Mytilus edulis: one gene and its partners. The protein of the gene in region 3 binds, or shares a complex with, the protein of the main gene of each other region. Links are inferred from orthologs where the notes say so. Each region holds a gene or a part of one and is shown on either strand. Other genes may lie near its edges.

Region 1 (11,341 bases), on a different chromosome or scaffold from region 3:
TGTATACATGTACATGGTCAATGTACATGGTCAATGTATATATACATGTTACAAACATGTAGGCAATAAATGTAAAACACATAAGTACATGTATCTTCTCTAATCACAAGCACACTGACTGTTTTCATGGTTTTACCCTAAACATGCTGAATATAGTAAATACCATTTTTAGATGAAAACCTAAAATATAAGTGAACTTACATGTACATGTATATCAAAATGGATAGGGCCTGGGGGATTGGATAAAACCCTGGGACTATTGCCACACTGCAGTGACTGCACCAATGTTACAGGGGAGAACCTACAGTATATATCTTTACTTACTTTCTGTTTTCAGGAGTGATATGATTTCCTCCACTATAGTATCTGCAGCACATTGTGGGTGTTTAGACAACAATCCTAGGATGTGTGCAATCTTCCATCTAACAACTGATTCCTTTTCTCTGTGATAATGGTCTACCAACTGCCTAACAATATTTACAGCATTTTCTCCAATCTGTGACAACTGACGTTCTAAGTGTATTAGACTACTGACTGCTTCTTGTGTGCTGGTCCCTACAGTTAGATCAAGGTGGACTTCTGGCAGTAGTGGTTTCTGGACTAACTTTAACTTTTTGATAGGTCTAGGTTCCTCCTTTAAAAGAAAAGATAAAACCACATATATATAAATAAGTGAATAACTTAATTGATTGATCATTTTGAAGGAATTAAGTGATCTTAATTTTAATATTCATTTCAATAAAGAATCTATTTTTTCGTGTTTCAATATTACAGGGACATTGACATGAAAATCGGGTTAGAAAGGAAAATTTCCATTATCCTGATTATCCATTTTACATGTAGCAGGTTGAAATTACATGTCACGGTAGCCAACTTGATTATCTGAATGGACAGGTTAAAAAGTGATTCTAGCATATTAAACTCATAAACCATGTGTAATGAACAGTCAGGGGACTTACTGAAATAAGTGATTTTTAAATCACTTATTCGAGTAGCAAATTCAAAGTTTTTTCACAAAATGTGATTTTGTAGTTTTACCAAAATTTAAAACACATAGGTTTAAATAATATCTTTTCCTGAGTAAAATTGAAAAAAATGTATTTTTTGCTTCTTTAAGTAGCAAGGTTTATACCTTTGATGCTATCATTTAGCTGCAAATTCTATTTTAGTTGAAAAAAAGCTATAATAATGGCTTTACCTAATGAACTAATACTTTCTTAACAGATTTTTCCCAGCAGTTGGAGTATTTTTCCTGTAAAGTTCAAGGTTTTATCTTTCAGATTTCACTGTTCGGGGGTGTTGAAATTAGTGGGGGTTATTAGAAATAATGATACTTAAAGAAGTGACTTTTGAGAAGGAAATTGAGGTATGATACTTAAACAAGTGATTTTTATGTCATTATCCTAGATTCAGTACAAGGTCATCACCTGAAATGACCTGGTCATCCTAGACAACACAGATGTTGGTTCTGATAAGTTTAGAAACATAATTAGTCCCTGGAAAATTAGTAATCTATATATATATTTAAATCTACAGTAAAATTAAATCACTTCTTCTAGTGATTATTTTGTACTACTTAAATACATGTAGGTGATTATTAAAGAAAGGCAACTATTACTTCCAACCTTTATGGATATAATGTTACTTGAATCAGTGATTTAGAAAATCACTCATTTAAGTAAGTCCCCTGACTGATGAATTGCCTTTGATAGTCTAGTAATTTTTTTTTTAATTTGATTCTTTTATATATTTCAGAGTTCAGTGTGATGTGACATCCATTTTTACTGAATTTATACACATTAGTGTTTAGGGGCCAGCAGAAGCCCTCATCTGGGGGCAGATGCAGGATTTTCTGGTTGTGTTGACGACACAACGGTGGCCATGAGCTGTTTTCTGCTGGTTACAGGTACCTCAAATGACTGAATAACACTTGAAATTTTAATACTAGCACATATTAGTGACTTTTATAAATTGATTATTAAATAATAGTATATTATCAATGTATTTTATAACTTATAAATGATTAACAGAAAGCAGATACAATGTAAGTTCATAAAAAACTTTTTAAATTAAGTGTGTACATCCAATATGATGAGCACAGAAATCACAATCGCTGACGTGTTCGATGTACACATTAAATTTAAAACGACCTTTATGAACTTATTTGATTTCTGTAAATCATTTTAAAGTTATAAAAAATCGATAATATATTATTATTTAATAATCATACCTGCCAACCTCTGAAACCTTCAAAGAAGGAGATCTCCCTCTAAGCTATGACAGCTGAAGGGGAGATTTTGCACGAATGACATTTCCAAGTGACATATATATACAAATGTATGACCTGTTTATTTATTCTTCTTAAAAACACATATAAGAGTTTATCATGTTTATAGATCTACTTATTTTTTTTTAAATATGGTTAATTCTATATATAGTATGTTAATTTGTTTTTTTCCTTTTCATCATCTTTTCAAATTAGCCTCTCATCAGAACAGCTTTTCAGTCAAGATCTGTACATTTGTATCCAGTGTTTATTCATGGAGCAGACAACAAATGGAAGTTTTTAACAACCTTGACTGGCTATACAGCCCTCGCACGGTCGGCTCAGTGCTCGAAGCATTTGGTGAGCATTAGAATAATTTAGTGCCATCGGTCAGGAACAGGTGGTGGTCGCCATTTTGGAGGTCGCCATCTTGGTTTTATGAGATGCTTTGGTTTGGTATGTTTACTATTTTGATGTTCTTTCTTCACAACGGCGGCTTTCAGGGCCAGTTTGGTCAGCTTGGCAGCCATCTAACCCCGATGATAGAGTACTGGTAGATGAGTCTTGGACGTAGTGCTAAAGATGACAGGAAGCATTATCAGGACCAAAGCCGTTAGGCAGTGAAATGAAGGTCAATCATCTAACACCTAGGATACAGCCCTTGGACATTATTCGGCATAACACTCCCCCATCTACAATGGGTTTTGGAATGCATGTTAACGCGGGAATATGCCAACTTCTACGTTTACTGTCATACCTGTCAACTCACCCGTTTTTTGCGGGTGACACCCGTTATTTTCACCTCTCACCCGGGAGTTTTTCTTTACCCGGCGGGTCCCGGGAATTTCTAACATTACCCGTTTCACCCGGATTTCTGACCGGAATTGTTTCCGGTATTTAGAAGTAATACGACCTTCGGTTTTATCGGTCTTTTTCAATGTAACCAAAAGTCAAAATGTAGGACTGTTTACCTGAGCTACGTAACGATATGAAGAGACAACACAGCTACAAGATGAGTTCAGTGACTATCAGTTGACCCCATTAGATGAACTTCCACTTTGCACTTCCCCTGAAACTGACATTGGTACATTTTGGGGAGAAATGTCCAAGTTGCATGACATTTTTATTAACAAGCCAAGATTTTTTGTTTTGTCAAAACTTGCTAAAACATTACTGGTTTTGCCAAACAGCAATGCAGACAGTGAGAGGGCATTTTCTTTAGTAAAGAAAATAGCTACAGAGTTTAGGGCTGATCTTAATAAGGATACACTGTGTGCTCTTCTTTCTTGTAAAATGAATACACATTTGCATTGCTTTGAACTGAAACCAAGTGCAGTTCTTTTAAAGAATGCCAAGTCTGCTACTATGGAATATAACAATAGTCTGAAATAAACTTGTATACATGTTCTAACTGTTTCATATACATATTGACTATATAAATTATATGTAAACATATTTTTGTTCTTCAATTGAGCCCGCAAAATGTCGTACGCCTTATGACCTGAGATTTTTTTTCTCAATGCAGGTCATGACCTGACTTTTCATTTTCAGAGGTTGACAGGTATGTACTGTACAGCGTTGGATTAGTTTCTGTCATCTAAAGTAGTAGCTCATCAAAGATAGCGGGTAAAGGAGAGCAATGAATTACAGTCTTCACAAATTGATCTGTTTATATTGTGTGCTATGTTTTATCTAGTGCCTTCGAATTTATCTTTAAAAGTTATCTGATATTAGATTTTGACATTATTGTTTACATCGGTAATTTTTACAGATACACAACTTGTAAAAATATACCTCTGACGAGTTGTTAGCTAAGTACAACGGATATAATTGTAACATAGACAATATCAGTTGTAAGAAGTTAATGAAAAATAAAAAGCAATAACCTGGATAACTTGGCTAAATTCGGCAACAGCCCTTTTCTTCAGCAAAGCTGCCATTCGGAAGTGGTGGGAAAATAATAACTATCAACAAAACCGGTAAGAACTTAAATTTCCGTATTTTAAAATTATTTTTTTTTTAAATTTAAAGGCTTTAAAGTGCCTGTGGACTTTTGCAATATTTGTACCACATAACATTGGTTATTCTTTTTGTAAACAAAACTGTTCCTTATCATATTTATAATATATATATATAACCAATACAGTGTCAAAGTGTAGAAATTTCTTACATTAAGTAATTTCTTAGGCTCTTTGGGTTGAGGGTTTGGGTGTGATTATGAAAATTATTGAATACAAGGGTTTCTGCATATAATAAGCAGTTTCAGGCTATCTCGGTTGATAAAAACCATCATACAGGTTGTGTTTGATTAAATGTTATTTCTATTTCGTGAGGTTAAATAACTATGAGTTACAAAATGAATTTATATTAAATTGAACTTCAATTTTCATATTTCTAAGTTATTTGTGAAAAAGGCTGCAAGGCAATTAAAATGTTTCGAACAGAATTGGGAAACACATGAACAGCCTCGGTAAACATCATAATTTATCATGTCTAACTGAAGTTATTGCCCTTTGTCTTGTGATTTTTGGGGAATAGAAAAATTGAAAAACACTAGAGCATGCGATTTACTGAATTATTCAACGCATAAATTACGCACAATTGCCCTGGAGATATTCGAATTGACTTATAAAAGAAAATTTATGTGTCCAAAATCACGTTATTGAATACAAAAAACAAACAAAAAACTTTTTTCCTCCGATATATATACTGCTGAGGTCACGAGACCAAAAATGTAAACTTATGACTTTTAGATTTGAGACAGACTGAACCATGCAGCATAAATACCCCTTCAAAATGAGACCAGAGCTATGACTGCTTTTGATTTAAAAAAAATATCTTGGTGATGGGGACAAAAATGTTATTGATGTGAAAACCGTTTCAATCTATCAATTGCAGTGCTGCGTCAGGCTGAAATTTCTGTCTTTTCTGGTCTTTTGCTTTTTTTTTTGCATTATATTAATACCTGATTTTAAATCCCAGTGCGTAATTCCTTTTAACAAGACGCTTTTTTGGTTTTGTTAGCATTTTTTTATATTTCAGAAATCGCTATAGTACCCGCTAAGAGTTGGTGCACATAGAGCGAGGAGCTCGACTCATGGGCATGCATTGACATTGGAGGTTCAAAGATAAAGAACGAACCCTTTATAGGTTTTCATTACATTAGCATTCCGTTTTGTATATTATTTGTATTTTACATGAAGCTGTATAATTGTTATGAACATATCACAACTTTCAATGAAATTTACTTTGATAATTACGAAGGCAATAACAGATAATAAAGAAAATCATGTATCTAAGACTCAAATGTCAATCAGTACACGTCCAACATCCAATATATTTAGTATAAAGACGTCATTAACAGTCAGAGAAAAGCATGACCTGTCCATTTTGTAAAAAGAGAAAACATTTGACATACACAAACATAGTTATACACAAGACCAAATATTTTAAAGTTTGGATTATTCTAATTATTGCTGTCATTAAAACTGTGTGTACTTAACCTTTAACCTTTTTGTGGTTCTGTTGCTTATTTTTTAATTTTTGTTTTCTAATTATATTTGATTGTTCATTTAATAAATTGTACAAATGTATTTCTACAAAACCTTGTCAATATGATATCAAAAATTAAATATATACTGACATACTAAAGAGGATCTTCAGTTATGGCACCTCCAATCGAAATGTTTGGTAGTAATTTGCCATTTTAGCTACTATGTATGTATAAATAATATTTTCTTTTCTCGTACATAAAACAAATTTACAGTGGAAATTGTCCTTACCCCTTTTATACTTTCAAAAGTGGTTTTTATGTTCTTGCGTGCCTTCGTATAAAGCATGTCGATCATCTTCTTCCCGGTTATGAAAGCATCCCGTCTTTCTTCAGATTATCAAATAAAGTAAACATAGTTTTACCATTAACGTCATTAAAAAAAACAAGAAAAAAAGGAACAATTCCTGCCGTTGACAATAGATCAAGCAGTGGTATATAACCATGTTTGTGCCTTTCAAGTAATTCACGGATACATATGGGGATATCAGCGTTCATATCTGATAAATATCAGGACACGGAAGTGTCATACATTTTACAACTAAATAACTTTTATTAAAACTTTAATAGTGTTTTCTAAACAGAATTGATAATTTATGCACACAGTTTATAGTTAAAAACCTGCGGTTTAGCACAACGAATGCACGAATTTATAAAGTGTAATTTTGTGAATCAACACAATGAACAAAAATATGCTTTGATTTGTCAAAACAATTTAATAATAGTTATAGCTTTTTAAAATACAATTTAGTTTTATTTTATAAGTTAAATTATAACTTCAGTTGCTTGAAATACTATACAAACCTAAATGATAGAAGTTCAACTTTCAATTAACAGTGACATGCAAAGTAAAACATTAAATCAACAGGACCACACGTAGTAAAACTTTAAACAGGCAAACTGAAACCTAAAACCAACAGGAATATGCATAATAAAACCTTAATAAACAGGTGCGCCACGAGCGCATGATATGTCCTTCGTCTTGTGTGTGACCCCCCTTTAAAAAAAAACAACCTTAATAACTCTTAAATACAATTTTGAATTATCACCAAAAAATTATACAGATCTTTAAATAGATAAAGATAACAAACAAGTGTGTAAAGTTTTAAGCAATAACCATAAATCGTTTTTGAGATACGGCGCGACATGTGAAAAAATCATAGTTGTTTCAAATGATTTTTTTCACATGTCGCGCCGTATCTCAAAAACGATTTATGGTTATTGCTTAAAACCTACTCCTTTAACTGTTGAGGGTGGAGAAATATCATAATACACGAGTTACAGTGGTGGAATCTGTTTCTCTAATGATTTTTATGATTTGAGGAAAGTGTATAACGATATATTTCTCCTATCTAAATTTTGATATTTAAAGCGAGAAGCTTGCCGAACTTTCTTAATAATTAAAAGGAGTAGGTCCGGTAAGGGCTGATTTTGGCCTCAAATTTCATGTTCATCTGACGAAAGATTTTGGACATTTTTTAAACACTTAAGTGTCTATTTCAATTGATTTGTTTAGTTTTTGTGAAAGTGTTTTTTAACTGATTTAGTCATTAAAAACGCTCCGATTCAAGCTTAAATATGGAAAATTTAGAAATATGCCAAAAAACGTCACTTTTTAGATGGTTTTTGTCAAAAATGAAAGTGGCCGCATCCGTGTTCATCCTCAACCTTTATATATGTTATGTATTATCATCAAATACAACTTACATTTCAATATTATGAATGAACACGAATGCGGCCACTTTCATTTCAGTCAGACGGAAACCGTCTAAAATTTAACTAAAATGCTAAAATTGTGTAGATTTCAGTAATTTAGCATGACTAAATGATGCTAGTACCCGATATGTGTACATTGTATTGTCAAAAACAGCCTATATTTATGTAGCAGAAGCATTCTACTTTCCATTAAATAGCTAAAAGATAACAATTTCATAATTTTGTAAAACTGCTATATTTTGGGGCCAAAAAGGGGTCTTACTGAACCTACTCCTTTAACTGTTGAGGGTGGAGAAATATCATAATACACGAGTTACAGTGGTGGAATCTGTTTCTCTAATGATTTTTATGATTTGAGGAAAGTTGTGTACTTTTGGTGTGACGTCATCAGGCATGTTCGCCTTTTTCATGACGTCACAATAAACAAATTTAGAAGAAAACAAGAAAATTTAACGTCATAATTAAATTTCAACCAATCATTTGCCGTGAACAGATTTTTCACCAGTGAGGAAAAATATGTTTCTCACACCGGTCAGAAATGTGAAAATAGCACAAAAATTAGAGAAAAGTGGTTCTAATAAACTTTATTTTGATTCGACATAAGTACAAATAAGCAGCACAAGCTCTAAGGAGCTTTTGATCGAATATAAAAACATATAAATAACATAAAAACAGTCCATTTTGACTTATAAAAAAACCTGTAATACAAAGTTGAAATCTCACATACTTACATAGCATATCTCAAGTTACAGTGCGACATGTGGACGTCGGACAGACAGACAGACGAACAAACAGAATACGTCCCGTAATTTTGACGGGCGTATAAAAACAAAAAGGACATGCATTGTATTAAAAACATACACCAACAGAAACATGATTAGTAAAACTTTCACTGAACCAACAAGGACACGCATAGTAAAACCTTCAACCAACAGAGACTTGCATAGTAAAACATTTAAGCAACAGACAAAGGCATAGTAAAACCTTAAACCAACACTGAAGGACAAGAAAAGACATCCTTCAAACAAAAGAGATATGCATATCAAAACCTTTAATCGACAAGGACACTCATAGTACATGTAGTAAAACCTTCAACCAATAGAGACATACATAGTTAAACATTCAAACAACAGTGACAAGCATAATAAAACCTCCAACCAACAGAAACAGACAAATTAAACCTTTGACCAACAGGAACATGCATAGTTCAACATTAAACCAATCGTAACATGTTTTATAGTAAAACCTTCTTTAACCAAAAGTCACATCAAAAACCACTACCACATGCAGACAATTTATACTTACAATATACTTGCATTGTCGGAAAGAATATATATAATGAAGTATTTGTATGAGTTTTCGAAAGGGAAAGAAGAAAAAGCTAGATTTGTTTCATATCTGAACAAAACAGAAATTGCCTTATCCTTGCTACATGAAGGATTGTATGATACAATACTGTATTCGATACGTTTATTAGTATCCCTGTTTTGTGAGAGACAACGTTAATTTATACCAAAAAAAAATAAATTTCATATCTTAGTTATCAAGAGAAACATATCGAATACAATTGTTCTTGACATCAATTTTATAGTCATTAACCTTGAAAAATGTTGCCACTTCAACGCAGTTATTGGTAACAGTACACAATCTTTAACCATTGGAAAGTCCAATTCCTGCTTCATTTTGGTATTAACCATGAATATTACCACTTAATCACACATTTCTCAGATTTGTTATATACTATGAGCATACATGTCAGTTCATCGGCATTATAGATATTGATATAACTGGAAAGAAATATTGTCTTTCCGAGATATCCATCTAACACTCCGTTTTATGGTTAATTAGAGAACTGCTCAGCTGCTTCAGACATTCTGTAATGCATCTTATTCTATTTAATTATTGCAAATATTCCCTAATGTCTGATTTTATGACATACAAGTCCCCTCAACCACTTTAACATGAAATAAGCATCCCCTAAAACCAATTAAATAACAAATTAAGGAAACAAGATTTATATGAAAATATACATTTTCAGATCAGTTTCATTTTGGTTTATTGACAATTAGATGAATTCTTTCGTTGATTGGGTTTTCTATTTTATCAGTATTTATTGCTTCTTTCAGTCGCCATTAATAAATCTGTTTATTAGCATTGTACTCTTCATTAACAAACATTGTATTGTCACCCGATCAAAACCATCAAAATATATTCAACACTTACAGTTACAACAGGAATCAATTTTAATTTTCATTCAAAGAACGTATTTTAAAAACTGAAAGACTGTCCAACGTCGTTTATTTATATTCCTTATCCTAGTTCTATAGAACTTTAAAAAACAACATCAAAATGGCAATATAGTTAACCCGCCAAATTATGTATAATCATGTAGTTGCCTGTCCCAAGTGAGAAGCCTATTATTCAATTGCTGTCGTTTGTTGCTATATATCATATTTGGTTTTCGTTCATTATATTGTACGTAAATCATGCTATTAATTTCTTGTTTGGATTGTTCTACAATAGTCATTTCGGGGCCTTTTATAGCTGACTATGCAGAGTGGGGTTTTCGCATTGTTGAAAACCTATTATAAGTTGTTAATTTCTGTGTCATTTGGTCAAGATCGGTAGGGTAATATATTTTCAAATGATCAATTTTGACTGCACTTTTACAACAAAACAATAATAACTAAAGATGTCGTCAAATAAATTATTTTCTACCTCACCGGTTACTCGAATCCTTTTTCGAGTAATTAACCATTTAACCGGTATATAATAGAATGATTCAATCAAAATGTTCAAAGACTTTGTCTTCAGAACTTTGCGAAAATAAATCATCGTTATATGATGTGATGTATTGAAGTTTTGTCTTTTATATTTACATACTTTCCTAGACCATAGATGTATTGATCATTTTTGTATATGACTGGACAAATGTAAAACTAGTATACATACACAGAATTTGAATTTCCCAATCAAATATGACAAAGACCTTTCAATTTTAATGATTGTCACTTGTTTACATTCATAAAATATATATGCATATAGAATATTATATAATATAAAAAAGACGATGTGGTATGATTGCCAATGAGACAACTCTCCACAATTAAGAGACCAAAATGACACTTATTGGATAAGCAATAACTATTAAAGCAATTAGGGTTTAATATAATAATAAGCTTGATAATATCTATTTGACCATCACGTAAGCAACTAACGCATGCATATCGACTCAATTTTCCAGACAGGAGATATATCATTAGTTGGTCAAATGTATCACACGTATATACAGATCTATTGTGAACATGAATTTTAAATCCATTTACAGAAAGTATTAAACATGGTAATTCACATACAAACAACATGATCTTAATATTTATTTGACAAATACTCTGAGGTATTGCCCTTCAATTCTGTATGTTAGATCTCGTAGATCATATGACCAGACTGTTGTTGCGCTAAATTATGACATCCTTAAGCTGAACCTTAATTCTCTCCGCGCCAGAAGTCGCATAAGGCCTCCACACTGCTTTTCCACCCTTTTCTATTTTTTGCCGCTGTTCTGGCTACGTTCCAACTTGTCCATCCTTGTTGGTTCCTTTCTCTCTCTGTTGTTCTTCTCCATGTAGTTTTTGGCCTTCCTCTAGTTCTTTTCCCTTCAGGTGCCCATTGTAAAGCTACATAGCTGTTGTTGTCTCTTTCACGCCTTAAAATATGTCCTATCCATGTCCAACGTCTCATTCTGATTTCACAACTGATGTTTCTGGTGTTAGCTATTTCGTTTACTGTTTTGTTCGATGTTTTACTTT
Region 2 (11,136 bases), on a different chromosome or scaffold from region 3:
ACAATAATCACAAAACTCATTTCCTGTAAATGTTAATGTAATGGAAGGATTTTGGAACCATTTAAAGCTGTTTTTTAAACAAATTTCTATCTTTAACTGCGGCTATCCAGGATGCACTCAGTGTACTGTGAGAGAAGCATGAAGTATATTGTAAAAATTTGTTTTTGTGTCCAGATTGAAAGAAATAAGAAATGAGAGTTATGCTATCAATGAAAGGCATAAATATTCTCCCCATTTACATCACATTTTGCACATATTTCTCCTCATAGTGTATAAAATCATATGAAAAAAATGGATTACCTCCCTTTGACATAGTGTTTTTTTTTAGCTGTGTTCCCCATGATAAGTTGTAGAACAAGTGGTAAATAAGCACTTTTCTAGTATTTTAACACTCGAATAATCTGACCGCATGAAGGTATTCATTTATTTTTACACAACGCCTTGCGTTTCTTTATTGAAAGAATATACTAGACAAGTTTTCATGATTACAGGTCCTTCATCCATGAAGCAAGTGTTGAAATGTTTGTAATTGGATTTTTATGTTAAATAATTTGCTTTTAAATATTCTAAATTGTTACTTCAATCTCCCAAATGTAAAGTTTGGTCATACCTAATCTTATTTTTTTATATTTGGCACTTTTTTCTACTTCAGTTCTAGCTGTCTAGTTTTGGCAAAGAACCCATCCTGATGTTGGGGTAACAGGAATTTCTGCAGAGTGATTGTCAATGACATTTTGTGAAATTTACAAGTAATTAAAACACAGATTTAGTATAATGAAACATAATTGTTGTTTTATTTGGTATGAAACTGCTTAAAAAAGCCTTTGAAAAGTCTTTTTGTGGTCTTTTCATGGTATTTAACCAAAAACTTCCATATAAGGAAAAAACTAACTAAGAGTACACCAAGACTTTAGTTTCTAGATGTACTTGCAATACTAGTCAAAGCAAACACAGAAAACAATTCATATTTATTAAACATAGTATTTTACACCATTCTTTTAAAAACAGTCAATGCGCAACTTTATATACCAAATATACATTGGCCGCAGTATGGGCTGTAGTATAAATTTTGCTCTATCTTTACAAATTCAGCATTTATGAAGGTTGTATTGAAACTGGAACTTGAAAATTGGATACATTACATGTTTATTACAAAAAAAGTTGGAAAAGAAGTAAAAAAGTCCCTTATAGGGGTAAATTCAGTAAATAAATATACGTCATCAGGGACCGCCCATTTAGGGGAGAGCTTTCTGTATAACACTGAAGTTATATGCTCTTCTGATTGGCAGATAATGTTTGTAATAATTATTTTTTGGTAGATGGATCAAAACTAGAGTTGAAAAAAAAAAAATATATGCTGAATGTACTAATTTTTTCCCCTTCAGGGTTGAAAAGTAATGGGGGTCAGTATAGGAATTCAGTGCGAATCTACATTGTTTGTAAATAAGGCCATGTGAATGCCTAAAATGCCGCATGACCCTATGTTTTTATTGTTGCAAAAGATAGGGCTACATTTGTACTTTCATGAATGATATATGAAAGATTTTAATTTCTAAAGGTAAATCAGGTATAAATTTATTTCCACACATAGATTAGCATTAAAGTCAATGGGAGATTTTTTACTGAATTTACCCCTTTATTTCATCACAAGAGTCTCGAATTTCCTTGAAACAGCTTCAGTTTATTTTTCACTTTAGGACAGAATTAAAATGGCTTAGGGTCGGCACTCAAACTAGGGTTGGTCAGGTAACCGTAAACAGACTCATATTTTTTGTTGGCCTTATATGCAATCTTTACCCCAAAAAAAATTGTTAATCATGAGTAGATGGGCTGCTCACCCTTATTAATCATCCTGAGCTTACATCTCAACCATGTCAACCAACTTTAAATATTTGTTTTTTTCTGTTTTAAATTCTAACTCAAAGCTATACTAACGTAATAATAACACAGTCTAGGTGATCTGTTAACCTCTCATCATCTGTCTTTGTAATGTAGGAAAAATCTGGAAACCGCCTCTGTAATTATAACAGAGATCAGATTACAAATAATTTTAAAGTATTTGGCATCATAATAGCTTGAATCTTTATGCTGATGCACCATTTACCATGCTAATTAAAATAAGATCAATATGTTGCCCCTTAAAAAGTTTGTATTTTGAAGTTTTATTATTCATATTATTTTCATTTTAATAATGCACTATAGGAAATTTCTTATCAGAACTATGGTCACTATCAGTTTCAATGTATCCTTGTGTGCATGCATATTTAGATTCTCTTTCTATGAACAATGCTGTCTAATAACCACATAACACTTACAATGTGCTGATATATTTTACCAATTCAGGAAAATGATCAGAAGAAGAACAAAGTGTTTGGCTATTAAATAACAATCTCAGAAAGGTATAAGCTTTTTGCACAAGCACAATATTATTCTAAAGATTTTTTTTATGGAAATTTCTTTATCTGCCACTGAGAAGCACTTCAATCAGTAAACTTTATAATAGACTTACATCATCATTATAACCCATGTGCATACCACAATCCATCATGATGTTTTTACCACCAATTGTCACCAAGATACAGCTCCTACCCACATCTGTAAATGGTGAAGATAAAATAGCAATAAAATAATTTAATATTGATGCAAAATTTCAATAGTCTATCATGCATGTCATATGATCATAAGGACTTCTTTTTAAAATCAATATTTTTTTGTAAGGTTAAAAGTGTATTCGTCATGTTCACTATTACATTGTTTCCAATGGATACATATATTGAGTATTTTCTAGTAAAAATGGCACCTCTTTCACGTATGGCTCTAGTTTTGTGACATTAATTCCAAAGAAAAAGCTCCAAATATACCATCTATATCAGGAAATTTGATTTTGTGTCTAATTTTGTAGTCCTCTAAATATATGTTATTTGGTCTCTTGTCATGAAGAGTTGTCTCATTGGCAACTATATGCATCATGTGCATACCACATCTTCTTTTTAAAAATAATGTCACTTTTTTAATATTGGTAAAATTATATTTTGTAGATACATTTATCATGTTTATATACATGTATATAAATATCTACATTTTGTATAATCTCTTGCTAGATATTTAGGCTACCATTGACTATTTACAGCTTGTTTAGTATTCTTAAACTTACCCTGGCCTGCACCTGCAAGAAAATGAAATAATGAATTTATATTTACGTGTACAAAAAGTAGTTAAAGTTATATATATTGTCACATAAAACAGATGCCAAATTAAGTATCAAATCTGGCATTTAAGGGGTTTTAAATAAAGTATTCATATTCAATTACCATAATCGGATCTGTATAGTACATGTATACAGATGTTAATGCTGGGAGAGACTTCTGAGAAGGGGGTGCAAATTATATATTCATGATACATGTATATGCATACATTGATTTTAACGATTCAATGAGTACCAACTAATAATAAATGCAATAAACATGATAAACATAGATCATTCTTTGTTTTAGCACTATTTTATCAACATAAATATTACAATTTATTCATTTATTGTGTATAAAAGATTATTCGTAATTTATCCCTAACCCATACAAGGGGGTCTCATTGGTAGGGTATGATCTCCAATCCCGCTCAGGTCCGTAGCCAGGACTCGACAATAACGCTTGTCCGATTGTCCGGTACCAGGGAAAAAAAAGGTCGGACAAGTAAAAGCTATATCAAGCTTGTCCGATGGGACAAGTAAAATTATTCTGCAGAAAATAAATTTGATGAACAAAGTAATTATAAACAATAAAACAAGAAGAGAAGAGAAAAATAAAGTTTTAATTTGACATGTTTACTTGCAATCAAATATTTAAAACTGGTTCTTTGTCAGGTACTTTTTAACAGGTAAAAGACATACTATTCTCGTAAACCAGTCTTACTGATCCGAATCAGTTGCAGATAACGTAACTTTTTTTTTACAAGACAGTTGTCACCAGCTCCGAAACGATTCGGCTCCAAGTTTTATTGACAGTTTGGCACCCTACGAGACATATTTAATAGACATGATTAATAGACAGTTTGGTAACACAGACATATCGGGACCAAGACAAATCTGTACATCGTTTTTCTACCTTATTCTGTTGCTTTAAAATAAATTATACCGGTATTTTTTTTTTTAAATTCACTAAATCATATTTGATCCTATGTAGTAAAAAACAATACTTGCAATACGGTGACCTATAGTTAATTTCTTGCAGAGAGTTGTCTCATTGGCAATGATAACTCATCTTCATTTTTACAGTCGCAAATGCAGTTTTACTGGCGACGCGTAGCGGAGACAGTAAAACGATATTTGCGTCCGTCAAATCAAAATTGACGGTGGCAACTCTTCAACTACAGTACTGTTATTCCGATTCTAATGCATTACAAAAAGAAAAAATGCGATAAAACTTGAAAAAATGTCTAAATTTGTCAAATAAAAAAAAATACACGAAATTTCATGAATGATTTTGGCACAAAGACGTCATGGCTAAACCTGACGTCATTCAAATGAAAACTTACAAACTGGAGGTTATTATTTTACCCGTACGCTTCAAATTCGGATAAAATTACATTAAAACGGCGAATTCGAGGTAGCTGTTGTTTTATTTTCGATTATATAGTAGTAATCGAACATTTGTTGATTTATTAATTCAAAATGGCGGGCCCCTCCTTAGTTACGCCTGGTCAACTGTGGATTTGACGGCAACTTTTAGCCAATGAAAAAAATTGTTACATCCAAATTGCATTAGAATACAAAAAAGGTTATTCTTAAGATTTTTTTGGAACAAGTTACAATTTCATTCGGACAAGTAAGTTTTGGTATGTACTTGTCCTACTGGACAAGTTGAAAAAAAAGTTATTGTAGAGGCCTGGTAGCCAGGAATTTCCAAGGGGGGGGGGAGGGGGGGTATTTGGACTCACAAATCACAAACTCGACTTTAACAGTCACAATTCGAACAGAAAGTTGACTTTAACAGTGCTTATTTGTTTTCAAGTCGTCCGAACCCCCCGGCTACGTGTATGCCGCTTATTGTTTAATAAAAATTCTGTATCCGCTCGCGATCCTCATTACCATAATAGTGCATTTTATTTCCGTGTCCCGCTAGTCCCAATAATTATGTCGTCGGGGTCTGGCAAGGCTATTTTAATTTTTCTCTGGGACGTCGTAGGGAGGCGTCCCAGAAAAAAAATTAAAATAGCCTTGCCAGACGTCATAACTATTTGGACTGGTGTCCCGCCAGACATTGTTTCCCGTTTTCATGCTTAATTATTTCACGTGTCACGCTTTAAAAAATTCTGCCAATCCTGCATCACGCATAACCCCAATGGTAGGTACACAAACAATGTATTGATATAACTGCTGACTGGCATGATATAATTATTTTCATAACTTTGTTTGGACTCAGATCACTGGTCAAGTAACAGAGAAAGCTGTGACATTTGATTAATGCTTCTGTACATATTGTGGAATGACAACATAAATTACCTAGTGGTGTGACTCGAATTTCTGTCATTTTCAAATAGTTATCTTTATGTTATGAATTTGGGAGATAGTTCTGCTTTTTTGAGCTGAAGCATGATACGTCCGGAATACTTTAACCGTATTCGCTCTAAAATTAGTCAGAACCAAGTTATGTTCTAGAAAGATTGTACTTTTATAGAATCATAAAAGATACGTGAATAAATTTGTAATTTTAAACAATATAAAACAACAACGTTCTCATGTCTGAAAAATTATACGACGGAAATGTAAAACAAGAAATTAACACAATATGAAGCAAGCAAAACATAGAACAAAACTCAAACAAATTTAATGCTCTTTTTGTATGTGAATGTCATTTTGTTTTAAAAGGGTTGGTTGTTACAGGTTGCTATTTTAAATCTAATCCTGTAAATAGTTATACCATAAAATACTCTCAAAAGAAACAAACCTGCCAATTCTTATTTACTTTATCATCGCAACAACGTTTTAACTAACGTTTTTTTTACCGTGGCTAATCAAGATTCTCTTGCTTTGTTTACAGAGACAACAAAATATTATTTCCAACAAAATGGCATCGCATGACAGTTTTGATATCGAACGACTTTATAAGTTGTTCCATAGCTGTATAAAAGATGACGACACGATTGATATGGACGAATATGTGAATGCATACGAAGAATTATCAAAGTAAATTATTTAAATGGTCAAGGCTATATTTTTACAGAAACTTTCGACTCAATTTCAAGTCCAATAATTGACATGTAAATAGATTATATGTGGAATCCGGGTCCGTTCGCCCTGATGCATGTTCGCCCTAATACCTGCTGTGTCTGTTCGCCCTTATTTTTTTTTTTATTTTTTTTATATATATACATTTGTCTTTTTGCAGAATGTTTAATATCATGAATATGAGGCAGGCATTACCTTAGTCCAAATAATTATGACGTCTTGAAAGGCTATTATAATTTTCGCCTTACTTCGAGTCAAAGAAAAAAATTATAATATGGGGACGGAGTCCCCAATAACAGTAGAAAATTCAATAAAAAAAAAATACGGGAAAATTTCCCAAATTTTTCATTGTACTAATGAACTCAAAATCGTTCAATTTTTTTTATGTCATGTTTTGAAATCCCGGACATGCGCAGAAATGTACAATGTACTTTCTTTTTCCGGTCTCGTTTGTATGAAACTTTGAGTAAAATATATATTTATCAGTCTAGTATAAAATAGGAAGGAACGCGCAATACCAATTTCATTTTTAATAATTCCTTGATATGAAAAAACGTTACCTGATGATAGCGTTTCTTTGTTTACATTGCATATGACGTCATAATTTAAATAACGTCACAACTAAAATCCCTAACAACAGAACCAAAATCGGAAACGTTACGGTATTTCCGTTTCTTTTTTTTTTAACAAATATTTAAGTTACAAAAAATAATTCATACAGACTTCGTCCCCATTTACAGGTAATGCCTGCCTCATATTAGTCTTCTGATGTTGGATAAAAGCTCTACAGAGCTTATTTTGTATTGTTATATGTATAACCGACTTTAAATAAATCTTTTATGCTGTCATAATTATTTGGACTAGCATTACCTCTGAAAGGGTACGAAGTCTGTATGAATAGGCTATATAGCTATTTGCCAATTCCCGTAATTGACCCTGTTTTTAGAGATCCCTAATTTGGTTGTCTCCCTTATGACGGACATTATTTTTTATTTACAATGGAGAGCAGACAGAGAAAATTTACCTGTGCGTAATGTGAGTAATCTTTAAGGTTTTTAAATCTTTTAATTACATTTATTTGTTGTTCAGCTAAATACTTTTGACATCAGAAATTATTTTTCGTAATAAATTAGTTAAACCGCCGATACATCACTTTCAATTCATCATGCTTTGCATTGGCAAAAGGTAACGCTTGTCCCGTATGGAACCAGTCTATGTTTGACAAAGGGAAGTAATTTGTTTAAAAAGTGTGTTATAATAGAATCAAATCGGTAATTGGCAAATGGACTATTGAGCGTATGAATTATTTTTTTTTTTTAATTAAGACATATTTTACATGTTACTTTAAAATCTGTTAAAAAAGAAACAGAAATACCTAACGTTATGATTTTGGTTCTGTTGTTCATGTTGTTAGGGATTTTAGTTGTGATGTTATTTTAGTTATGATGTCATTTTCAATGTAAACAAAGAAACGCGATCATCACTCAGGTGATGTTTATTCATATCAAAGACAAAGATCAAATTATTACAAATGAAATTGGTATTGTGTTCCTTGACTTCCTGTATATGTTACTAAATTACTCAAAGTCGCATGACAATGAGGTGTGTAATATATTTGCTATGTAATAATACAATCCAGTTTCTATAACTAATTTATTAACAAGTACATGTTTGATGGTCAGACTACAGAATGACAACATGTGTAGAAGAACTTCAATTGATCTATTTAATTATGTTTATTTAAGAACCTGCAGACATGTGAGAGTTGCTGATCTGTCAATTATAATTACTGTGAGGTGAACATTAAAACAAGGTGTAAAAAGGAATAGGATTTCTACGCAAATGCTAGAAAATTGAAAAGTCTGATTTTTTTTTATCTATTTGGAGTTCATTAGCATGATTAGTATCTTCAATGAAATTTTCGTGAAATTTTCCCTATTTTTTTAAATGAATTTTTTTATTGATTTTTCTACCTTAATAGTATTTGTATAGAGTATATTTAAGTTTGTTGAAATATTAGCCGCTTATTTTTGTTGTTGCATGTGTTTTCATGATTTTCAAGAATTGGCATCATATAAATATCTCAATATAAGTTTATTAAACTTAAGCATGAAAACAGGAAATAAAGTCTGGTAGACATGGTAGAACACAGGGAAATTACATGCACTATTATGGAAATGCAAGGCCGTAACTACCCTTGAGGCAAGTGAGGCAATTGCCTCACTAAAATTTCGACAATGATTATTTTTTTTAATACATATATATATATATATAAATATAATAGTCATTTGTTGTTCTGTCTCAACCTTAATTTCTATAACTTGTCATCATTCCTTTTATTAAACTATTCTTCCTGTATATAATTCAGCATCTCAACGGGTGATGTTTCTCGATTACATTAACCTAGTAACGATAATCATCATGGATCTTTAGTTAAAAACAGGCTCTTGCAGAAAAAGGAAGGTAAAGAAGGAATAATTCTAGTAAACTAGTTTTTTGTGAACAGAGTCTGAATATTGCATATAACTTCATTAGAACAATCAAAACACGATAAGTAGACTGACAAATAAAGTACTGGTCTTCGGAAGGGGGCAGTCCTGTCTGCGTATTCATTTCTCCGTTTCACCAACTTTTGACAAATCTATTCATTTCACGAACTTTAAACTTTCTCTTTACAGATAAATGAAATATAAATAATATGAATCATGAATGCAAGGATTAGTTTTTATCCATGTTTCTTTAACCTTAAAAGTTGAAAGAATATCCCATATTCCAATTTGATATCAATGAGGAATCGAAGAACCTCTAACACAGGATTTTGTCTTTACTTATTCGGGACTACGGAATTTCATTTCTTTATATTCGGGGTTTCGGAATCGGACACCCCCAAACCCTAACCCCTAAATTTATAGATTCTGGAACTAAAATACCACGTATGATGGTGCTCACAGGAAAGCTTAATTCCCTTTTGCAAACAAAACTGTTACTACCGATGCTGCTACCGAATTGCTGATGGAGAAGGAATTGGAAGAAGACATTGATCATTGTGTTGATGATGATGTGCTACCTTTAGAAACACAGACTGCCCTGGAACAGCTGAAAACTTGGAAAAGAGCATGCATGAGTGGCGAGAGATTGTGCGGTCTTGTCATGCTCCATGTTCATCGCCATAAGGATATCAGCAGATCAAATTATGATTCTGAAACGATTTGATTGAACCGTCCATAGAAAAATTTTGAAAACTCTACTGAATCGATGTATGTTCTATGTTCTGGCAGCAGACTCAAATCAGTGATATTTGGATGATTATCGTACATATAAATTTAAAAAAGTTGTTAAAAATTTGGTGTTTGTAAAAGTATTAAAATATGAAAAATTTATATAAAAAGTGTCCAAATTCAAAACATTATCAAACTCTCTAAAAATGCCTAGAATGCAGAATTTTGCACCATTCATTTCATACTCTCAAAAAAAAAATTCGCCTAGCTTCGCTCGGCTCAATTATTTTGCCTCACTAAAATAAGATGCCTAGTTACGGCCTTGAAATGGGTCAAGTAGGATACAGGATTCTGGCAAAACAAAAAGCGGGATCATACCATTTTTCGAGTAGAAAAGTTGGTTTGTATGCACAATGGGGATAATGTTTTTCGGTCTGTGCTTCTATCTTACAGTCCTGTTTCAGGTTCTCTAAAACATTTGGTCAAGGTAGTTTTTGATGAAGTTGTAGTCCAATTAACTTGAAACTTAGTACACATGTTCCCTATGATACATACTATCATCTTTCTATTTGGAAATGATTTATAATGTTTTAGTCAAATCTATGGCCTAATGGAAGTAACTCCTGTTATAATTGAGGAATTTATGTGGTATGATTGCCAGTGAGACAATTATAGTCCAAATGAAACAGAAATGAACAACTATGAGTCACCATATGACCTTCAACAATGACCTTAACCTTTTCAATATAGTCAGCTATTAAGCATGTTAGTTTAGAGCCTAGACATTACAAAATTTTACACAATTCAAGTTCTAAAACCAAAAGTATCATGATCATTAATCATTATTAATTTTCTTTAAAATCATTGTTATTATTGTTTTGTAGGTTGTTCGGTATTCTTGGTTCCGTGTTTAGCTTTGTGAATTCAGATGTTGTAGAAAAGGTTGGAATTTTACGAGACTATAGAAAATCTCCTGAAGCTGCAGATTATGAAACATTTGAGAAAATGATAAAGTATGAAGTGGCCAATAAGATAACAGATAATAAAAAGAAAGCATCAGGATCTAGGACATTGTTACGACTTCATCGTGCTCTAGAATTTACATCACGTTTAATGCATGATGTGAAAGCAGCTGACGAACACGGGAAGATGTCCCACATTACAAAGGAGGCTTATGATGCAACATTGTCTAAACATCATCCATGGTTGATACGAAAGGGGGTTCACGTAGCTGTTTATACCCTGCCAACTAGGAAGCATTTTATAGAGAAATTACAGGCCAAGGACCCGGTCCAAGGGTTGGAGTACTTAGGAAAGACTGCTGATATTCAGCAGAGGATATTTGATGTGACAGAGGCTATATACACAAGAGAAAATCTACATGGACTACCTTAATGTAGAACATTTTTTTAGTTTCTTTAATTTACATTAATTTTTTATTGTTTTTTTATTTTTCTCCTTTATGTTTGTAATTTTCTCCTAGTAATGTACTGTAAAAATGTTTTTGTTCTTGGAATCAATATTTAAGCTTATTGTGATATAATTTGTATGTTTATTCTTTAAAACTACAAATAAACCTTGTATAAAACTGTACTCTAGCATGTCTAGGTGCTGAAATACAGCATATCTCTAATGTCAGATGTATATGTTATAAACTAAACTAAGAACTAAAAGCTTAAACAAGACATCAAAACA
Region 3 (10,846 bases):
GGTATTCCGAATTATTTTGACTTCATGTACTTATGTATGGTATGTTAATCTTCAGTGATAGACTGCTTCTTATTTGTATGTTTCTGTGGTTGCTTCTGTTTCCCAAACCCTCCTAAACTTTTTTCCTCGTATCTGATAATTTTCGGGAACGGATCGAGAACTTTTTAAATGGTCCAGTTTTCATCCATGCTGGTTGGTTGTTAGGTACAACGCTAGTGTGGCAAAGGTGGATCCTGTCAGATGCAGGGGGTCACAGTAAAAAGTAAACTTGAATTTGAACAAGATGAATCAACACCTAAACCGGTTATTGTGCGGTTGGGTAACAGTGAAAAAATGTCCAATGTTCATCTCAATAGAACTAGGAAGTTTTTAGATTGGTTTGTTAGTCATGGAATTATGATAGTATAGGCAATGTATAATAACTTGTTTTCAATGCTGTGACACTTAAAACTGACCCTAAACATTGCTAAATCCAATGTATTTTTTGTCATATTTGGTTTCTTTTGTGCAAGTGTTTATATTGGACAAGATCGTGCAGAGTTTGTGTTTCTCAGTCCTTGATTTTCTATGTTATGTTTTGTAGACCATAAAGTTTGTATTCATATTTTGCCATGGTGTTGTCTGTTTGTTTTTAATTTATGATTTTGAATACCCCTTTGATAATTAATTCTTATGCCACTCTTTTGTAACACACGAAGACTGCAGAAAAAAAGTTATAACTATAAAAGACTGATTGTAAGTATACTGAATTCTTCATGATCTATTTTAGTCATGTTAGTTGTTGTAAGTTTTTTATAAAATTGACTCCAGAACAGTGGTTTCTTTTACTTGTGTGTTTTTTTTTAAATGTAGTTTTTTTCAAAGGAAATCTATTCAAATAGGTTTCCAATTTTTACACCGACAATGAGCATGATGAGAGAAATATAGATTCTACAAGTGTGTTACACTATTTCTCCACTTAAGCCAGATGAATTTTAATATTTAAAGGCTTTACATTTTTTAAAACACAAGTAAAAAAATCAGTGTTCTGGAGTCGGTTTTGTAAAAAACTTACAACTAGAGCTTTATAAATTTATAAAATTTAACTGTTGAGAGTGGAGAAGTATTGTAATACATGGGTTATCACTGGTTATAGTGGTGTGATATGTTTCTCTAATTATTTGTATCCTTGATTTTTCAAAGATTTGCAGAATTTAGTTGTGTTTTTTAAATGTGGGTCATCATTTTCCAGAAAAAAAAAGGATATCTTCACAATTGGTTGGGAAATGTGAAAAAAGTGAAAGAATTTGGGTACACTGACCTCTGTATAACAGGAAGTGGTAAGAATTTTAATATTTCTTTAACATCAAGTCCACAATCTAACATCAGTGTTACACCTTTAAAGTGGAGTATAAAACATGGCTTGCTTGGATTGCTGGACAAACACGACTGTAATTAAAAGAAAATATCAATATGTATGTTATATGCTGATGGATTATCAAATTCATGTATATTCCATGACAAAACTTGACTATATCACTTTCTTGAATTTTTACATTGAAATCATGTTGTTCCAAAGAAATTAGTTGTCTGGGAAATGTTTCTCAGAATAGTTTTTTTATCTTTTACATGTTGCAACCGTTCTGTATTTATTTTGAATTTGGGATGTGTTTTTTTATCACCACTCAGTATTTTATTCATTTGAATTAAGGAGATCAGGTATGAACACTGACACTAGGTCAAGTAAATAATTTGAGAATAAATACATATACATGTATAATGTAATTTTATTATTCTTTTATTCACAATATATATGTGGTTTTTAGCTTGATACTAACCAATGCTTATATTCCAAATATATATGTATATGTCTCTATTATTGTTGTTGTTACCAATTATGTAAATCAATTGTATCTGATTTTTTGCCCTTTATGGGCCCTGTAATTTGGGAAATAGAAATATTCTATTCTATTCTATTCTATTCATTCAATGATTGTCGGAGTAGTTTTTAAAAAATACTTGTCAATATAAAATTATAATAAATACAAAAACTTATACCCTGCACCCCTTTTTATATTTTAGAAGGTGTTCTGATTTGGAACATCTTTTTTATTTCAGGGGAAACAAGTATTATGCAGAATAAATATATGTTCTCGTTTCTTGTTTTTTATATAGACTAGACCGTTGGTTTTCCCGTTTGAACCGTTTTATACATGTCATTTTTGGGGCCCTTTTATAAATGTTATAGCTTGCTGTTTGGTGTTAGCCAAGGCTCTGTGTTGAAGACCGTATTATGACTTATAATGGTTTACTTTTACAAATTGTGACTTGGATGAGAGAGTTGTCTCTTTGCCACTCATACCACATCTTCTTATATCTAATTACCTCTCTGTTTTTTTAGGCTCTCATGCATATTTTCTTTAAAAGATATTTAGCATAATATATAATGTCTTTTAATGTTGTCATAATTTCATTTAGGTGTTTGACCTTTTTATAGATACATGTATGCCTGGGTTTTGAAATTGACCATTAACAATGATTAATTTTGGTAACTTATCTACTTGTAGGAGTCAATATTTGCAACTTTTTAATTCAGGTCAAATATTCCTTGCTCAACACTAACCATGATAATTGACATATTGAAATACCAGGGGTCAAATTAAAGCTTTTTTGTGTACTGGCCAGTTAGACCAGTGGACTAAAAAATCTACTGGTCCTGCAAAAATGACATTCATTTGACAACCCCTTACATGACTATACTGTATAAATGATAGATTTTTACTTTTTATTTTCATGCTTTCTTTTACATATGTTAGACAGGAAAAAGAGAGAATCTCAATCCCGTTTTTGATAAAGGCTTTGATAATCTCAAAGCTTTTCTTTATGAAAATCAGAATCAATGACAGAAAAAATGTCAACATTGTCTTCCACATCATCACAATCCTCACGAAGACCATAGGGTGCCTGACTGGGTCGTCTGGAGCGCTGCCTAAAAATGTTCCACATTTCAATAGCTGGGACATTAACTTTTATTTAACAATTCACAATTTCTTCCCAGGATTATTTATATTTCATTTCCTTTTGTCAATTTCATAAACTTTATTTCAATCTTCCTTTTGAATGACATTTATTTATTTTTTTGTCCGGCAGTCCTTCCAAAAACTGATTTCCAGATAAATTTGTTAGCAAACAAACCGAAACTGCGATGCAATCAGGGATTTTTATCGACAAATTTCTACTGGTCAGCTGTACCACCAGCTGACAAAATCTAATGGTCTGACACAAATTCTACTGGTTTTGATTCACCGGACCAGCGTCAATTTCGATCCCTGTATTGAAGTCATAATTTGTCTTAAATTAAAGGGAGACGAATCTTGAAACCTACAAATTTAGACCTCTATGAGTCAAAAGCAGATTTAGACTAACATATCATGTTTACGTCTGACTGTTTATGACAAATGACAGTAACCATGGTAACAATTCTTGAAAAAATGACATTAACAGTAAATTGTTGGTGCAGATAAAACAAACCTTTTCTTTTTGATATATAAGAAAATCAAAAACTTTGTTTAAACGAATCAAGCTTAATTCTTTTCTACATGTAAAATAATGTTTTCATACCTCTGACAAACCACTATAAGGATATTTTGATAAATCACAATAAAGTTTTAACCAATACACCTTATCGCTATTTGTCCGCCATTACTGGATATTACACAGGTTCCCGTAAAAATTTAACGTCACAAAACAAAATATCTGACGCCACAATGGAAAAGTGATTGTTGTATGCGTCAAAAGTTCAAGCGGCCGGGTCAGCCTGGATTAGCGATAAGGTGTATATGATGATAAACGGTAGTCAGAAATTACTGTTCGACATCTGACAGTATTAAGGGGCATTCATATCTTCATCTTGTTCATTTTAGACTCAGTGGTCCATATAATTATGACGTCTTGAAACATGTTGTGAAAAGCTATTTCTTTTTTATTTGTGACACCTTCTTATGTCTGAGGAAGGTGTCACAGAAAAAGAAATCAAAATATACCTTTCCAGGCGTCCCACTATCTAATATGTTTTTATGAGGTTGTTATTTATATTTTTTTACATGCTCCGCAAAGGTAGTTTGATATTTAGATTTGAATTAAAATATATATTTTGTTTTTGATCTGTAAATCAACTTGCCAGCTTCATATTTTGTCTTCCAGTCAATGTGTGGTTCTTTCACTTTCGAGGGAAAATCTCGCGTCAGTAAAGTGTTTTATTTGGTGAGAAACAGAATTATAAAATGAAGATCAGAATCAATTTAGCGCTTTAGAGAACAACTTCCGGTCAAAGTGAAAGAAGAAATTGTGCTTGTTGATATATATTTTCAAAATACTTGTTAGGTGCACAAAACAAAAGGTTTGCGACGTTTTAATAATGGTTCATGCTCTTTGTTGAATAAAAGAAGGTGGTAATTTTTTGGTAAATTCAATACAAATTCTCCTAATCTGATAATTGAAACATGTGAAATAAACACTGATAAGGTTCATCATAACAAATGGACAAATATGGCAGAATTTTTAACTCAAAAATTATTCTGTGTGCAGACTTACCTGTGCAGTTTGTAAAGTTTTAAGGCCTTATATTAATATGAGGCAGGAATTACCTGTATATGGGGATGAAGTCTGTTTTATTATTTTTTTAATTCAAACATATTGATAAAAGAAACGGAAATACCATAATGTTTCCGATATTGGTTCTGTTGTTCATGTTGTTAGGGATTTAGTTGTGACGATACTTAAGTTATGAAGTCATATTCAATGTAAAGAAAGAAACGCTGTCAACCAGGTAACGTTTTTTTCATATCAAACAATTATAAAAAATGATGGGGTGTTGAATTCCTTCCTATATTTGTTGATGTGTTGATAAACATACATTTTATTCAAAGTCTCATGCCAACAAGACCATAAACGGAAGTAGATCTGGAAAAAAAGTTAACGATTTGGAGTTCATTAGTATGTTAGTAGAATGAAAAATTCGGGAAATTTTCCCGAAAATTTTAGATTTAAAAAAAAAAAAATTTTAACTGTAATTGGGGACTTCGTCCCCATATGATTAAAATATGCACTACTAGAACACTACATGTATTACTATTTCTGAAGTAGTTTGAGCCCTGTTAAGTATAATTTACTATTGTGGTAAGTGTCTGGCTGCAAAAGGCATGCCAAATTATTATTGCATCTGAACCTTGCCATTCGGATGGTAGAGAGGATGAGATTTACTGGTCAGCGTGCACACTTTTATCTTCATTCCATTTACTCACAGATGGGGAAAGGTAAAGGAAAGTCTTGTCACCCAACCTCATCTCTTCTATTCCTTGATAACTCTTTGTTGCCTTTGTTTCTTTCTCTTGATTGTAGAACTCAACTCCTATGTCACTTTTCTACAAACTTTCTATGTTATGTATGTCTTTGCATGTATAATAACAGTTTAACAGCCTATTTTTCTTAGTGCTTTGATATATATCTGTATATTTAGCTGAGTGTTGGTGTATTAGTCTACTTATCATGCTTATATATAATAATGAGTTATGATGAGTTACAGCTCAAGATACATTTGGTTAAGCACACTGAATTTCGATGAATAATTAAGGGCTTTGGATTGAAAATACATTTATCATGTTTATACAGACTTTCTTTCTCAAATTTTCACTCCTAAAAATGGCTTCAAACTTTTTGTGCAATTAAGCTGGCCATTCAGCACATTGGTTTCATCATGTTCATTATACAATTTCAATGTACAGACTTATTTTTTGGGAGCAATGCCATAGCTTAAAGATTAAGATCAATAGGCAAATTAAATTACACAAGACACAATATAGAAAACTAAACACTAAGCAACATGAACACTGACTAAAAACAGCTCTCAAATGGAGACAAATTGAATTTAGGAAGAACTCCTCAGACATATGTGTGTTCCACACTTATTTAGTTTTGTATTTGTTGTTTTCAGATCATGGCAAGTGTTGATGATACACTTCTGGTGAGACATCTCCCGTCACAGCTCTCCAATGGAGACAAGGAAGAACTCCTCAGACATTTTGGAGCAGTTAGGGTCAAAGTGATGGGCGTTAGAGGAGCAATGGTGACTACTTAAAATATATAAATATATTTACTGTAAATTCTTACATTATTACAAGGTTTATATTAATGCGAATAATGCAAAAACCTGAGTTTCCCAATAATAAGAACACACATACTTATATAGAATGCATATATCTGTACATTTGTATGTAGCTTTTCCTATTGATAATATTTATTAGTTGAAAGATTTTCCTAGATTTTTTTAATTCTAATAAACTCACCTTTCATATACTGTGAAAGTACTTTAATTCGTGGTTATCAATTTTCGTGGTTTCAGCAATATTGACATGTTCATGGATTTTTAAATTCATGGATTTAAGTTTTCTAGAAAGAAAAAAAAATTAAATTTGAAGCTTTTAGAATAGACGGTTACACTTACATGACTTACATTTGTAGTCTGGATTGAAGGAAATTGCTTAGTAAACATTGACCCTTATAAATCTTAGTGACAACACTAATTAACCCAAGATAAAGTGATCAACAAATTAAAGACCATCAAATGTGTTAATTAGGCCATAAACATGTCACCTAAACATGCTAAAGAAAACAGTAACATGAACAAATGCTATAAACATGATAAACGTATCTTGAATTGTAAAATAATTTTTATCAAAATCCAGCCCAGCATGAAATTTTTATTTCCCATATGTACTAGAACTATGAGAATATAAAATGAACACTTTATCAATACCGGAAATCTGACTTTCATCAATATAAATATTTTTATGAGAATTAAAAGATCAAAAGTTGTACAGTTTAGGTTATTAAAGATTAAATGGATATAATCCTGCATGCAGTTGTAGTTCATAGCTAGTGCATTTGCCCTGTGACTACTATCATAGTATTTTCAGATTTGGCGTTATTCAATATATATCCTCTGGATCATATATAACAGTAGTCAAACCTACATGGGTATCTTTCCATGTCTTGATTTGGACAATCGTTGTTTTATTTCGTTGGATACTTAAACTTGTGGATAAAGCCATCCTCGAAAACCACGAAATTTGGTACCCCACAAAAAAAAATACTTTCACAGTACATGATAAAGACACATGATAGATGTCAAAAATGAAACACTATAATGATTTTGAAAGTTTCAATAAGACTTTGGATCCATGATTTCACACTCAAGTAATTATAATAATTACTTTATTTAGGAAAAATAAGTTAGTACAATACATGCAATACTTATCTCCCCTGATGCCCTTTAATTTGAATATCTCAAAATACAAATGTATAACAATAATATAATTTATACTGCAATCAGCTATTTCACTATTCAGATAAAGCTATACGTATAAACGTTAGCTTTATACGTCAATGACCTCAACTAACCTATAAGCCCCGCCTTCTTACCGGAACTACTGTATTTCATCAACAACGTCACGTCACAACCAGGACAATGTGTAGTAACAATGGTCAAACTTTTATGAATTTAAACTTGTTTTGTCTTCAAATTGGTAATTTATATACCATGTTTATTAAATGTTATTATTTAAGTTCATTTTTCTTTCTAATTCCTTAAAATGTCAATGTCCTACCGCCTGAACTACGGTCATAGGGAAATACCCCAAAATGGTACCCCAAGAGGGAAATTCCAAACACTTTTTTTTTTACAATATTTATTAGGCCACGGTTTTTTAATTTGTTGGTTTACGGATTTTCCCCATGAAAAAGTCGGGTTGGTCGGTCAGGAAAAAAAAGAAAAAAAATCATCTTTGAAGACAGAAAAATATGCAAAATCAATATATATTTCACCTTTCTAACAATATGTTTGTTATGCCATTTTATCATCATTTCTTAAATTTTAGTTCAATGAAATATTATTGCTCAGCTGTTATAAACATCGCATGACATTGTCTAATAAGTTACAGTAAAAAAAAAGGGGGGTGCACGGACAAAGATGAAATTAAATCGTCATTTCAGAAACAAGAAAAATAGATTCGTGTAGCTCTTAATCAATTCCAGAAAACTTGGTGAATAATGATCTTCAAGCACGAAAACTGATAAAGAAAAAAATGTAAAAACGTCGTACGAAAATAAGTTTCAACACACGTGTCAAAAACCTAATAGACTCGTCCATTGGCAAAACGAGATTATCGGGTCAATCTGTTGTCTCGCATTCCCGTTTTTTATCCAAATGGACGATAATTTTTTTATTATCTATGAAACAAGAAAATTCCAAAGGATTTGTTAATATTCAATACTTCAACTTGATGCCTTCAACCTATCAACATTTGGACAAGTCTATTTCTATGAGATGATGCATCTTACGGACTGATGACAAATAAGGAAAACGAACTTATTGTGTAATTGGTTTTAAACACAAGTTTCGTTCCGCAAAATTATTTGTGCAAACGACATTTCAAGGTCAGTTATTATGATAATTGATTTGTCTATATTTAAAAACGTAAACTGGAAGTTTTATTTTTTCACAACAGCAAGTGTTATCAATTTTGTTAGTGATTAATGCATTTCATTTCATAAAAAAAAATTATTTTAATTATTTTTCAGGGATAATGCATTTCTTAGGGTCGGCGGGAATAAAAAAGCATGAAAAGTCAATTTTATTTTTATTCTGGAAATCGGCAAAATCGGGTTGGCGGATCCGTAAACCAACAAATTAAAAAATCCTGGCCTTACATACTTTTTTTTAATTTTTAATTTTTTATGGATTTCAGTATAAAAACTATATACGTATAGTGTCTTGAAATATGAAATTTATTTGTATTTGGCACAAAACAGGGGAAATGCTCGGTAGAACCTCGCATTTCCCCCGTTTCTAAGCCTCATACAAATAAATTTCATATTTCAAGACACTATATGTATATTGTCTAAATATACACATACATACATACATACAAACAGCTTTTTATGCAACACAAATGGCAGAAAATAACAGAATCGCTTCATGAACATATTTTGTTAATTAATGATATACAAGACAAAATTAAATATATGGATTTTTTTTAATATAGATATTTTCCATCTGATAATCACATTTTTTTCTTTTTTACAGAAACATACAGCATTTGTTACATTCTCAGACAGTATGCATGCAGCTAAGGTTTGTTTGTTTTCACTTGATAAAATGTAAAATATGAAACAATATGTACAATTGTACATGGTGTGTATGTGTTGTTCCAAAATTATTTAAAACATGTATATGAGTGATTCTTTAAGAACTTTAATCAGATAGTTGATTGCCAAATATCCATCATTTCCATAAATATAAAAAAGAAGATGTGGTATGATTGCCAATGAGACAACTCTCCACAAGAGACCAAAATGACACAGAAATTAACAACTATAGGTCACTGTACGGTGTTCAACAATGAGCAAAACCAATACCGCATTGTCAGCTATAAAAGGCCCTGAAATGACAATGTAAAACAATTCAAAAGAGAAAACTAACGGCCTTATTTATGTTAAAAAAACAAATATGTAACATATAAACAAATGACAACCACTGAATTACAGGCACCCGACTTGGGACAGGCACATACATACAGAATGTGGCGGGGTTAAACATGTTAGTGTTTGTAAAAATAAATAATTCAATTATGTGTTTTTTGCAGGCATTAAACAGGTTGCATCAACTTGAGGTATTAGGATGTAAACTAGTGGCAGAATTTGCTAAGAAATCTCAGCAGAAACATTTCCCATCCATATCAGACAACCAAAGGTAGGAGAAAAGATCTACTAATTTAATGTTCTTATATCTGTATCTTATTTTAAATTTATATAAATGAAATCTGAATAAAGACTGTATATGTACAAACGTCACAACAGGATTCTTTTGACATCAAGTACCAATATCATAGTGAATGTTGTGAATGTTAGTTCAACAACTGCAATTTCTTTGGTCAATCATAGTACAATGTAAGTCATTGAATTTGAAACAGGTGTCCTGTAATAATTTTATTGCTTTAATAGGGGAAGAAAGGTCACAGAAGAGAAACTGGACAAGAGAACAGAAGATAAAACACAGAATCTGCCTTCAGCTGATACAGTGTATAAAAAATGGGGGTAAGATCATACCAAATAAACCTTATCTTTTTAAGTACCGTAAAAGTTCATGTATTATACGCATTTATAAATAATCACAACTTTCAATTTGTAAAGGTAAACAACATTATGGAATTAACATTTTTCTCATTTCTTACTTGTAGTTTTGTATAATTAGCACTCCTGTCTGGCAATGTACATTTGTAAGAAAAAAATCTGTTGGTTATTTATTAGATGATTTAATAATTGTAATATTGGACAAGGAGGATATCATTTTATTTTCAACTAGATATTACAACAATTCATATATTTTTGCAGGGTAAATTATCCTAAGAACCCCAAACTGTGTTACTTGTATCCACCACCCACAGTCAGTATCATAACAAATATAGCTAATGCTCTAGCCTCATGCCCTAGGTTCTATGTACAGGTAAGTTGACATCGAACTTAGAATATCTAAACTTGCCTTGATTTTTGTCCTAGGAGGACATCCATTTAGAATATTTTGCTATAAATGAGTTACTGGGTGCAAGTACGATAAGTTGTATTGTTCACAAACAAAAAACTTAATAAGCCTCCTGTCATAACATTAAATATTTTATGAATTTAAAAATATGAAATGTAATATTAACGTGAATATTTTAGCCATTTGATAATTTGAATGCATTTTAACTTTGTATAGGTGTAAAATTTGTACATTAAAGATGAGTTAACTCTTCACATCACTTTAGGATGT

Evidence for each region.
Region 1: the proteins of integrator complex subunit 9-like (region 3) and integrator complex subunit 4-like are in contact, whole or in part, in a cryo-EM structure (PDB 7SN8), measured with the Drosophila melanogaster proteins. The link is inferred for Mytilus edulis from reciprocal best matches to the Drosophila melanogaster genes IntS9 and IntS4. Residues at the interface, in NP_648838.3 of Drosophila melanogaster: Arg2, Arg23, Met88, Lys90, Met91, Asp93, Glu96, Asp98, Arg173, Lys176, Asp203, Leu205, Gly206, Gly500, Glu501, Ile502, Arg504, Val544, Lys545, Asp546; in NP_572488.1 of Drosophila melanogaster: Arg105, Leu108, Val112, Thr115, Asp116, Asp147, Thr148, Ser149, Lys153, Glu156, Gln193, Met196, Arg200, His231, Lys234, Gln264, Asp265, Ser266, Arg269, Tyr302.
Region 2: the proteins of integrator complex subunit 9-like (region 3) and integrator complex subunit 11-like are in contact, whole or in part, in a cryo-EM structure (PDB 7SN8), measured with the Drosophila melanogaster proteins. The link is inferred for Mytilus edulis from reciprocal best matches to the Drosophila melanogaster genes IntS9 and IntS11. Residues at the interface, in NP_648838.3 of Drosophila melanogaster: Glu128, Tyr198, Asp199, Glu200, Lys201, His230, Asp333, Ser334, Ala337, Tyr338, Asn340, Ile341, Glu344, Gln351, Val354, Tyr355, Leu356, Pro357, Asp358, Asp359, Pro360, Arg509, Lys510, Leu511, Asp512, Arg513, Ile514, Tyr515, Ile516, Ser518; in NP_651721.1 of Drosophila melanogaster: His94, Lys97, Ala98, Pro135, Thr137, His139, Gln140, Ser141, Glu149, Lys151, Lys274, Thr277, Tyr278, Lys280, Met281, Phe282, Ile283, Thr284, Trp285, Phe294, Val295, His296, Val450, Lys451, Ile452, Pro453, Val454, Asp455, Ala456, Ser457.

What each region holds. Positions count from the first base shown.
Region 1 is NC_092346.1:94,728,559-94,739,899, forward strand, and holds the start of integrator complex subunit 4-like, read right to left. Parts: upstream 4,275-11,341; 5' UTR 4,207-4,274; coding exon 4,153-4,206; intron 635-4,152; coding exon 325-634; intron 1-324. UniProt on the Drosophila melanogaster protein: Component of the integrator complex, a multiprotein complex that terminates RNA polymerase II (Pol II) transcription in the promoter-proximal region of genes.
Region 2 is NC_092356.1:73,121,804-73,132,939, forward strand, and holds the start of integrator complex subunit 11-like, read right to left. Parts: upstream 5,599-11,136; 5' UTR 5,526-5,598; coding exon 5,498-5,525; intron 3,167-5,497; coding exon 3,155-3,166; intron 2,596-3,154; coding exon 2,510-2,595; intron 2,016-2,509; coding exon 1,936-2,015; intron 1-1,935. Other genes in the region: ceramide-1-phosphate transfer protein-like, read left to right, coding at 6,063-6,181, 10,326-10,836. UniProt on the Drosophila melanogaster protein: RNA endonuclease component of the integrator complex, a multiprotein complex that terminates RNA polymerase II (Pol II) transcription in the promoter-proximal region of genes.
Region 3 is NC_092357.1:9,157,205-9,168,050, forward strand, and holds the start of integrator complex subunit 9-like, read right to left. Parts: upstream 4,263-10,846; 5' UTR 4,169-4,262; coding exon 4,160-4,168; intron 1,429-4,159; coding exon 1,301-1,428; intron 1-1,300. Other genes in the region: RNA-binding region-containing protein 3-like, read left to right, coding at 5,975-6,103, 9,122-9,169, 9,681-9,787, 10,039-10,131, 10,429-10,540. UniProt on the Drosophila melanogaster protein: Component of the integrator complex, a multiprotein complex that terminates RNA polymerase II (Pol II) transcription in the promoter-proximal region of genes.